Linked DNA regions of Canis lupus familiaris. The protein of the gene in region 1 binds, or shares a complex with, the protein of each later gene. Links are inferred from orthologs where the notes say so. Each region holds a gene or a part of one and is shown on either strand. Other genes may lie near its edges.

Region 1 (4,193 bases):
GATGGTTTGAATTAGGCAGTTTCCTAGAGAAGCAAAGCTCAGAAGTGTTAGATAAATGACATGTTACATACCAGGCACAGTAACAGTAATAGCACCATATATTCAAAATAATTTAAGGGGGGAAAAAAAGCCCTCCTACCCCCCAAAAAAGGCCAAGGGCCTCAATGTTGAAAATAGGAAATGTGGAGGGAATGTGTGCCATCTGCCTAACAGGAAATAAAAGAAGTGATGAAATTAGAATTTGGTCCAGAAGACTTCGAAGAGTCACTAAAAGAACAGATAGAAATGTACATGAAAAACACTGTCATCACTATGCAGATTGCTTTCTCGGTACCAAAATAAATAATCCCCAAGGTCTAGTCAAATACCATCGCACTGTTACTGAAGAGGAAAGACCACTGCAACAGTTACAGGGTATAATATTTGTTTTAAATTTAGCCCTCAGAAAGCTGCTGGAGTCTAAGCTAAATTAATGCTATGAATCTGATTTCAAGAAAACAAATTATTAATAATATAGGCTCAAGAGCTCCCAAAAGACTTTAGTCCTAAATCTATATGTAAAGGAAGATCACTTCTACATCAACTTTTTCATTTCAAATATACCTCACATCTGTGCCACTTCAGACCAAGCAAGAGCTAATTATTGAAAAGTTAATAGGATGGTTTGAGGTTGGCAACAAAATGACATGCTCCCCCTCCTCAATCCCCACTGAGACAGGAATAAAACCATATTGCCTATTTAAGGTTCTGCTCATGAGGAAGCAAAATTACTCACTCTCCCTCAAATATCCAACTCTCATGAACTCTGGTGAGAGTAACAGTTCATCTGAGTCTAGAATAATTCCCTCATATTCACTTACAGAAACTCCACCACTCCTCTAAGGCCCAACTCAAGCCATATGAACTTCATAAAGCCTTTTCCATTTAGGTTCAGAACAACAACCCTCTAATATAGATCACTTAAAAATCAGTGCAGGATGACGGGCATAATCCATCAACAGTTTAAGATCTCTGGGCACAGAAATTACACTGTAACTTACACTTCTTTCTCTCTCCCTTGGATAGATGGATATGGGCAATCCCCCAATTTCCAGTCTAATATTCTTTCCACAATTTCACTTTTGCTTTCTTTAAATGGACACGTTTCATAACAAAGGGTCAGTGCACGTGTTATCATTTTGCTTATGCCCAGCTGACTCCCTTACCACCTGCAGCTACTCCGAGTCTCTACTCCTCCTTCTAAGGGCACTATTCTAAACACTCCATCTCATCAACAACGAAGACTTAACCTTCAGTTTAGTAAAAACAGAGAAGCCATCAGGGTGTGTATCCCTCTACCATTCCTCCCCACTCGTTTAGAAATCTACCTGTTTCTTCACCAATCCTAACCTCAGTTCCTCCTGTCTCAGTAATTCCTCATTCTGGTCCCCTAAGTTAATTTCTCTACCATGTTCTTTATCCCATCCTCTCTTCAAATTCAATCTCTCACTCTACCATTTTTTTTTCCAAAAAAATTTTATTTATTTATTTGAGAGCATGAGCAAGAGAGCACAGTGGGGAGGGAGGCACATGGGGAGGGCAGAGGGAAAGGAAGAGGTAGGTTCCTGAAGTGGGGCTTGATCACAGGAACTGAGCAGGAGGCAGCTGCTTAAACAACTGAGCCCCCCAGGCACCCCTCCCACTCTACCATTTGTCTCTTTCCTGTCTCTCCCTAAGACCCATTCTCCTCAGACAACAAATATGCTCACTTCTCTAATCATTTATGCCTTTGCATTTGTTAAACCATTACTATGTTCCAGGCAATGTTCTCTGTGTTAGGCTTACAGACAAAATGTCTGCACTCACAGAGCTTTATGTTCCAGTGGGTAGGGCTGACAGTAAACAAGAAATAACTGAAAGGACAGCTTCTGATAGTATATAAGTATTATAATAAAAAATAAATAAAACAGAGTGATTCAGGTGAGGTAGAGTCGGACAGAAGAGAACAGGGCTAAATCTACTAAATCTACTTAGATTAATTGTTTGGAGACATCCTCCCTGGGGAGCTAGCATTTAACTGGCCAGGAAGGAGCCAGCTATGTGAAGGTAAAGACCTGGAGGCAAAGCAGTTTAAGATACAGAAAAAGAAATATGCAGAGGCCCAAGGGGAAAATGCCCTGGTGAGCTTAATGGCATAGAAAGGACATTGTGACTAACATAATGAGCCTAGTTGGGCAGTGGTACAGAAATGAAGTCAGTGGTAGACAGGCATCAGACCACACAGGCCACGGGGATGGAATATGGATTTTATTCTATATTGAACAGGAAGCCACTACAGGCTCTTAGACAGGAAATAATGTGATCTGATTATTTACAAATCTCAAACATATAATAGTCCACCATCTTTAGGTCAAGACAATTCATGTTTGCACAGTCTGAAATTATTGCCATGTACTCTCTCATCTGTTAAGGCTAGAAAAACTGAAGCAACTGCTTCAACATCTGTATTTCATGCACTATCAAATACTGGCTTTAAATGAAAGTTAAAATTATTAAGAGGGTAAGGAATGAATAAGTGTGGTTAACAAACTTGATAAACCACACTTACCTGTTGCTTACGTTTGAGTCTACAAATCACAAGATTTTATTTTACCTTTTCCCAGGTTGTTAATTTCTAACCCAAGAATTCAAACTCACCTCGACAAGCTTCTTCAAAATCTTGGGTTATGTCCACCCAGCTTGTATTGCTTTTTTCCATCTTTTCTGGTATACTGAGCTCCCATCCTGAATCATCATCTTCTACAGAAGCTTTCATGACCATAATGCCTATAAAATTAACACTGGTGTAAAAGAGATTGTGGCTTTCAGGGCAAGACTATTTGCAAGCCATGTGTGTTCACTCAAGTCCTGGATGGAAGTCTTACTAAACTGCCAGACTTCATCGGAGTTTGATAGTGGCAACTGGGAAATAAAAAAAATAAAAAATAAAATAAAAAAACCTTAACGCAATTAAACCTTACGTTAAAAGCACTGCTGCTTATTTACTAATAGCCGAGCACCTACAAGGGCTTTTAAGAGCTTGCCTTCCCACCATCCAAGGAAAAAAATCAGAAGCCACCCCCCCACCACTGGCCCAAGCAGGATGAACTCCAGAGCTTTCAACTTTGCACACCGGACACAAATGAGGAAGGCACTCTTCAGAGCCGCCTCTCGCAGCCCGGGGCCCACGAGGCAACTATTGAGTCAGGGTGGTCCCTCACGTGCCCGGAGCTCTCCGGGCCCGGCAGGACCCCGCACAGCCTCGCACGGCGGGCACCGAGGGCGGGAGCGCCCCGCAGGGCACCTACTCGCCCGGCCCAGAGCGGCTGCGCACCTGAGGCGGGACCCGCCCCACGACCACCTTCCCCGGGTCAGCCCGGCCGGGCCCGGCGCCGGCCCCGGCCCCACAGGGCGCGGAAGCAAGGACAGAGCTGTCGTCGCGCGGGAGGGCGGGCACGCCCGGTGCCGGGTCGTCGCCCGGGCAACACCGGGCAAGGCCGGGGCCTCGGCGGGCGGCGGGCAGCGGACACCGGAGAGCCTGCAGCTCCTACCTGAAGCGCGGCGGGAGGCCGGGGCCGCAGGGTGACCTGGCGTCCCCAGGGTCCGCCACACGCGCGGGGGGCTGCGGCTCTAGGACGCAGGAGGAAGGGAGAGTCAATGGCTCTGCACCGGCAGTCCCTACCTACTTCTCCCGTGGCCACCCGCGCCGCCACGCACCGTCCAGACCGCGGAAATAACGACGCCGCCTCAGCCGCCTCAGCCGCCGCCGCCGCCGCCGCCGCCCCCTCCCCTCTCAGCCCAGCCCGGCCGCCCCGTGCGCGCATGCGTACGCCCGGTGCGCGCGACCCGCCCCCTCTCCCTCACTCCTGGGGACTTCGCGCGCCCCGGCCACACCCCCTCCCTCACCATTGCCACCGATGGCTGCCGTCTTCTCTTCTCGCGGGATTAGAGCCAATCGCGAGACCGGAAGCTACCTTCCTTCCCCTGCCTCAAGCCTACTCCCGGGTGGTGGGCGGGTCCCGGGGAGGGGTGGAGCTTGGGGGGGGTCTGAGCCCCGCCCCTCCCCGCGCGGCTCCCTGGGAAATTATTAGAAAGGTGACGGTAAGGCGGGAAAGACCCGGGAAAGTCCTTGTAGACCTTGGCAGTTGTGTCCGTGCAAGAAAAGCCTGAGTGTG
Region 2 (3,388 bases), on another chromosome or scaffold:
CAGAGGGATTGCACACGTCCTGTCACTCCTGCCTGGTGCCCATAGGCAGGAAACAACACGGGGTGGGGGGCCAGGGCTCCAGAGCGCATCCTTCAGCCTCCCCGCCTCCCTTATCGCGTTAGCCCGTTCTTCCTGGCTAGACCCCAGAGCTCCGTCCCTGACCCTAGAGTCACCTCCCCCTCAATAGAGGCCTCTGTCGCCTGCCCTGCTCCCCCTTGGGGACCCGAGCCCGTTCTCTGACCCCAGCTTGGAGGAACTCGGGTGTTGCCAGGCCGGGAAGGGAAACAATGGGCCTTCCGGAGCAGGATGACACCCCCTCCAGCCACAATTCTGGAGCAGCAGCGTGGGAGGGAAGATGGAGGGGCCCACCCTGGGGCCTGCTGGTCCTTAGTGCATCCCCACCCCCGAACCGGAGGGAGCCTTTGGCTGCCCCACACGGCCAGGTAGGCAAAGGAGAGTTGAGAGTGCTCCCGACATCCCAGCCACACTCGGACACCAGGCACTTCGTTACAGGTTTAATGGTGTGCAAAGCACGCGCGATCGTGTTCAGAGATAGGGAGGCCCCGCCAGGCTCTCCCTCTGCACTTCAATAGAGACGATGTGGTGGCCGGGTACCATGGCCAGGCCCAGGACGCGGGGCTCCCCCGCGGAGAAGGAATCTGCAAAGAAGAGGTCAGAGCATCAGGGAGGTAGGCCAGAGCCGGTCCCGCCCCAGAACACCGGGGGACTCCGCCGCAGTCCCGGGAGGATGTCCTCGGGCACTGACCCGACGGCTTGAGGAACTCCTGCGCCGAGCCCAGGATGACATTGCAGTCGCGGTCGGTGCAGAGGAAGCAGCCGACCAGGGTCCGACCGTCTGTCATGCGAATGCGCATAGTCTTGTTGAGCAGCGCCTCTAGCTGCTGCCGGGCCCGCGCGGCCGGCGAGTCCTCGCGCTCCCCGTCTGAGTCCTGCGCGGGGCGGGACACGCGCTGAGACGGCGCAGCCCCGGCGGCCGCCCTCCCGCGGAACCACAGCTCCCGACAGCCCGCGGGGCGCTCACACGGAGCCCGGGGGCTGCCGGGAGCTGCAGTTCCCCCTCCGTCCCCCCCATCTTGCTCCCCGGCTGGCCCTCGATCCCAGAACCCGAGCCCGCGCTAACCCCGGCGCTGGAGCTGCTTTGACGCCGGCTGCAACAGCCATTCTCTTCTCGTAGCAGCATGGCTGGTCCAGCTCCGGCCATTTGCCCCGGGGCCGGCTCCGGGCCCTTCAACTTCCTAAGAACCTTTTGGGTCCGGTGGTCCGAGATCTCGCGAGTGCTCCCGACCTCTTTTCTTTCGCGAGATCACCTCCCCTCCTCCTCCTGTCTCCTGGGCAACTGCAGAGATCTCGCGAGTTTCTCCCACTGTTCCGGCACTGTGGCTCACTGCGGCCTACGGCGCCGGATGCCTTAAGATATCGCGAGAAGTTTTCCCTCTTTAGGTTCATACAAATCCTTCAGAAATCCTGGCATGTAGCGAGACGATCTTTTCTCGTCATCGCTTTGCACCCCATCGTCCCTTGCTTTTCTGCCTCGCGACACAGTCTGTCCTAAATATCCCCTCCAGCCCAGACCACTCTGAACACGGAGCTTTCGCTTCCCCCCGCCCCCAAACCTCTGCAGGACGCAACTCAGTTTCTTGAAAGCTAGATTCAGACTACGTTTCCCGTGAGCACGGACGGCCCCTCGTCCCGAGTGTTTGATCTCCGTGGACGGTGGCCGGGAAGGGACAATGGTTTCCATGTCAGCGGAGCAACGCGCTCGCTAGGAGGAAAGATGCCGCGCAGGGAGTGAATGAGTGAGTGAGTGAGGGCGTGCTGAGGGGCGACGAAGCAACCAGAGAAGCTGATGGCCGACAGTGCAGGAGCCATGCAGCGCCGGGGCCTCGTGGACGGGCCGGACTTTGAGTTTTTCCAGCGTCGCTATTTTACGCCGGCCGAGGTGGCCGAACACAACCTGCCGGAAGACCTGTGGGTGTCTTACCTGGGATCCGTGTACGACCTGACGCCGTTGGCTCAGGAGCACAAGGGTGAGGGCCGCTCCCTGGACCAGGGGCAGGGCGTGCATGGGAGCGGGGGCGGGCTTGGGCAGCCAGCCCTGACGGCGGCTGCTCCTTCCCCAGGGGACCTGCTGCTAAAACCCATCATAGAAGTTGCGGGCCAGGACATCAGTCACTGGTTTGACCCGAAGACCAGAGACGTGAGCCCTGCCGGACCGCGGGTTGAGGGTGGGGTGGGGGGAGAAGCGGGGGTGGCGGGAGTCGGAGGTGCTGACTGCCCCTCCCCCTTGCAACCCCCTCCCCAACCCTCTTTAAAGATCCGCAAGCACGTAGATCCGCTGACCGGAACGCTGAGATACCGCACCCCCCGGGGCCGCTTTCTGCACGTCCCGCCTCAGCTGCCCCGTTCCGACTGGGCCAACGATTTCGGGAAGCCCTGGTGGCAGGGGACGCGCTACGAGGTGGGGCGGCTGTCGGCCAAGACCCGGAGCATCCGCATCATTAACACGCTCACGTCGCAGGAGCACACGCTGGAGGTGAGAACGGGCGCCTGCGGGCAGGTTGGAGGGAACTGGGGATCCCAGCAAGTCTGCCAGGAGATCTTCGGGCCGTTGGGTCTCCGTAGAAAATGGGAGCAGGATCCCTTCCCTCCCATCTTTAGAGGCGACCGGGGAGGGCGGACCACCTGGAGAGCGGTCTCCAGGGTTGGGACCCTAGTAGTGGCCGGATCACAGGGTACCGAGACTCCTTCATACACCTTAGCCACGGTGGTGGCTTGGAAGCACTTCCAGGCTGTCTTTTGGAGAGCAGTTGCAGCCGGACTCTCTTATTAATAAACTCTGTTAAAGGGATGAGGGGAGGGGGCACTGACTCTGACCCTTTAGGGCCATCTGTTTGTTAAAAGTGGCTGCCCTAGAGACAGGTGACACTTCGGGGTCATTCACTGCGTGCTGGAGCCCCAGCTTCATTTGGGGACCAGAGAAGTGCCTAGAAATGCTATCCACCAAAGAGAGGCTCTCTGTTCTCAGCACTGTCATCTTTTGGGCTCCTGGCTTCAGCGTGGGACATGCACATGATGCATGCACGTGTCCCATCCGAAATCCTGGGGGATGGGGTGCTTTCATGTTCTGCAGGTGGGGGCCCTGGAATCAATGTGGGAAATCCTCCACCGGTATCTCCCTTATAACGCACATGCTGCCAGCTATACATGGAAATACGAAGGGAAGAAACTGAACATGGATTATACCCTGGAAGAGAATGGGATCCGGGATGAGGATGAAGAATTTGATTACCTCAATATGGACGGAACACTCTACATACCTGCCATACTGCTCTACTTCAATGATGACCTCACGGAGCTATAGGGGACG

What was found. The genes of interacting proteins can lie anywhere in the genome.
Region 2: the proteins of NAA35 (region 1) and NAA38 are in contact, whole or in part, in a cryo-EM structure (PDB 7MX2), measured with the Homo sapiens proteins. The link is inferred for Canis lupus familiaris from reciprocal best matches to the Homo sapiens genes NAA35 and NAA38. Residues at the interface, in NP_001308810.1 of Homo sapiens: Val30, Asp31, Ile32, Thr33, Phe36, Ala39, Cys40, Leu43, Leu45, Glu47, Leu48, Leu49, His50, Asp51, Phe54, Glu58, Ala59, Ala62, Ile63, Glu64, Met65, Met66, Ala72, Gly73, Met74, Gln306, Arg307, Leu309, Pro310, Pro311; in NP_001307854.1 of Homo sapiens: Ala41, Arg42, Leu45, Glu46, Leu48, Leu49, Arg61, Phe67, Leu68, Cys69, Thr70, Asp71, Arg72, Cys74, Ile77, Arg97, Val98, Leu99, Gly100, Leu101, Ala102, Met103, Val104, Pro105, His108, Ser111, Ile112, Glu113, Val114.

What each region holds. Positions count from the first base shown.
Region 1 is NC_049222.1:74,346,405-74,350,597, forward strand, and holds the start of NAA35 (N-alpha-acetyltransferase 35, NatC auxiliary subunit), read right to left. Parts: upstream 2,801-4,193; coding exon 2,677-2,800; exon of another isoform or gene 2,643-2,676; intron 1,323-2,642; exon of another isoform or gene 1,189-1,322; intron 1-1,188. UniProt on the Homo sapiens protein: Auxillary component of the N-terminal acetyltransferase C (NatC) complex which catalyzes acetylation of N-terminal methionine residues. N-terminal acetylation protects proteins from ubiquitination and degradation by the N-end rule pathway.
Region 2 is NC_049226.1:32,918,778-32,922,165, forward strand, and holds NAA38 (N-alpha-acetyltransferase 38, NatC auxiliary subunit), read right to left. Parts: upstream 2,228-3,388; 5' UTR 2,219-2,227; coding exon of another isoform or gene 2,142-2,218; 5' UTR 2,087-2,141; coding exon 2,003-2,086; coding exon of another isoform or gene 1,868-2,002; exon of another isoform or gene 1,223-1,867; coding exon of another isoform or gene 1,142-1,222; exon of another isoform or gene 951-1,141; coding exon 767-950; exon of another isoform or gene 660-766; coding exon 547-659; 3' UTR 501-546; downstream 1-500. Other genes in the region: CYB5D1 (cytochrome b5 domain-containing protein 1), read left to right, coding at 1,868-2,048, 2,142-2,218, 2,336-2,851.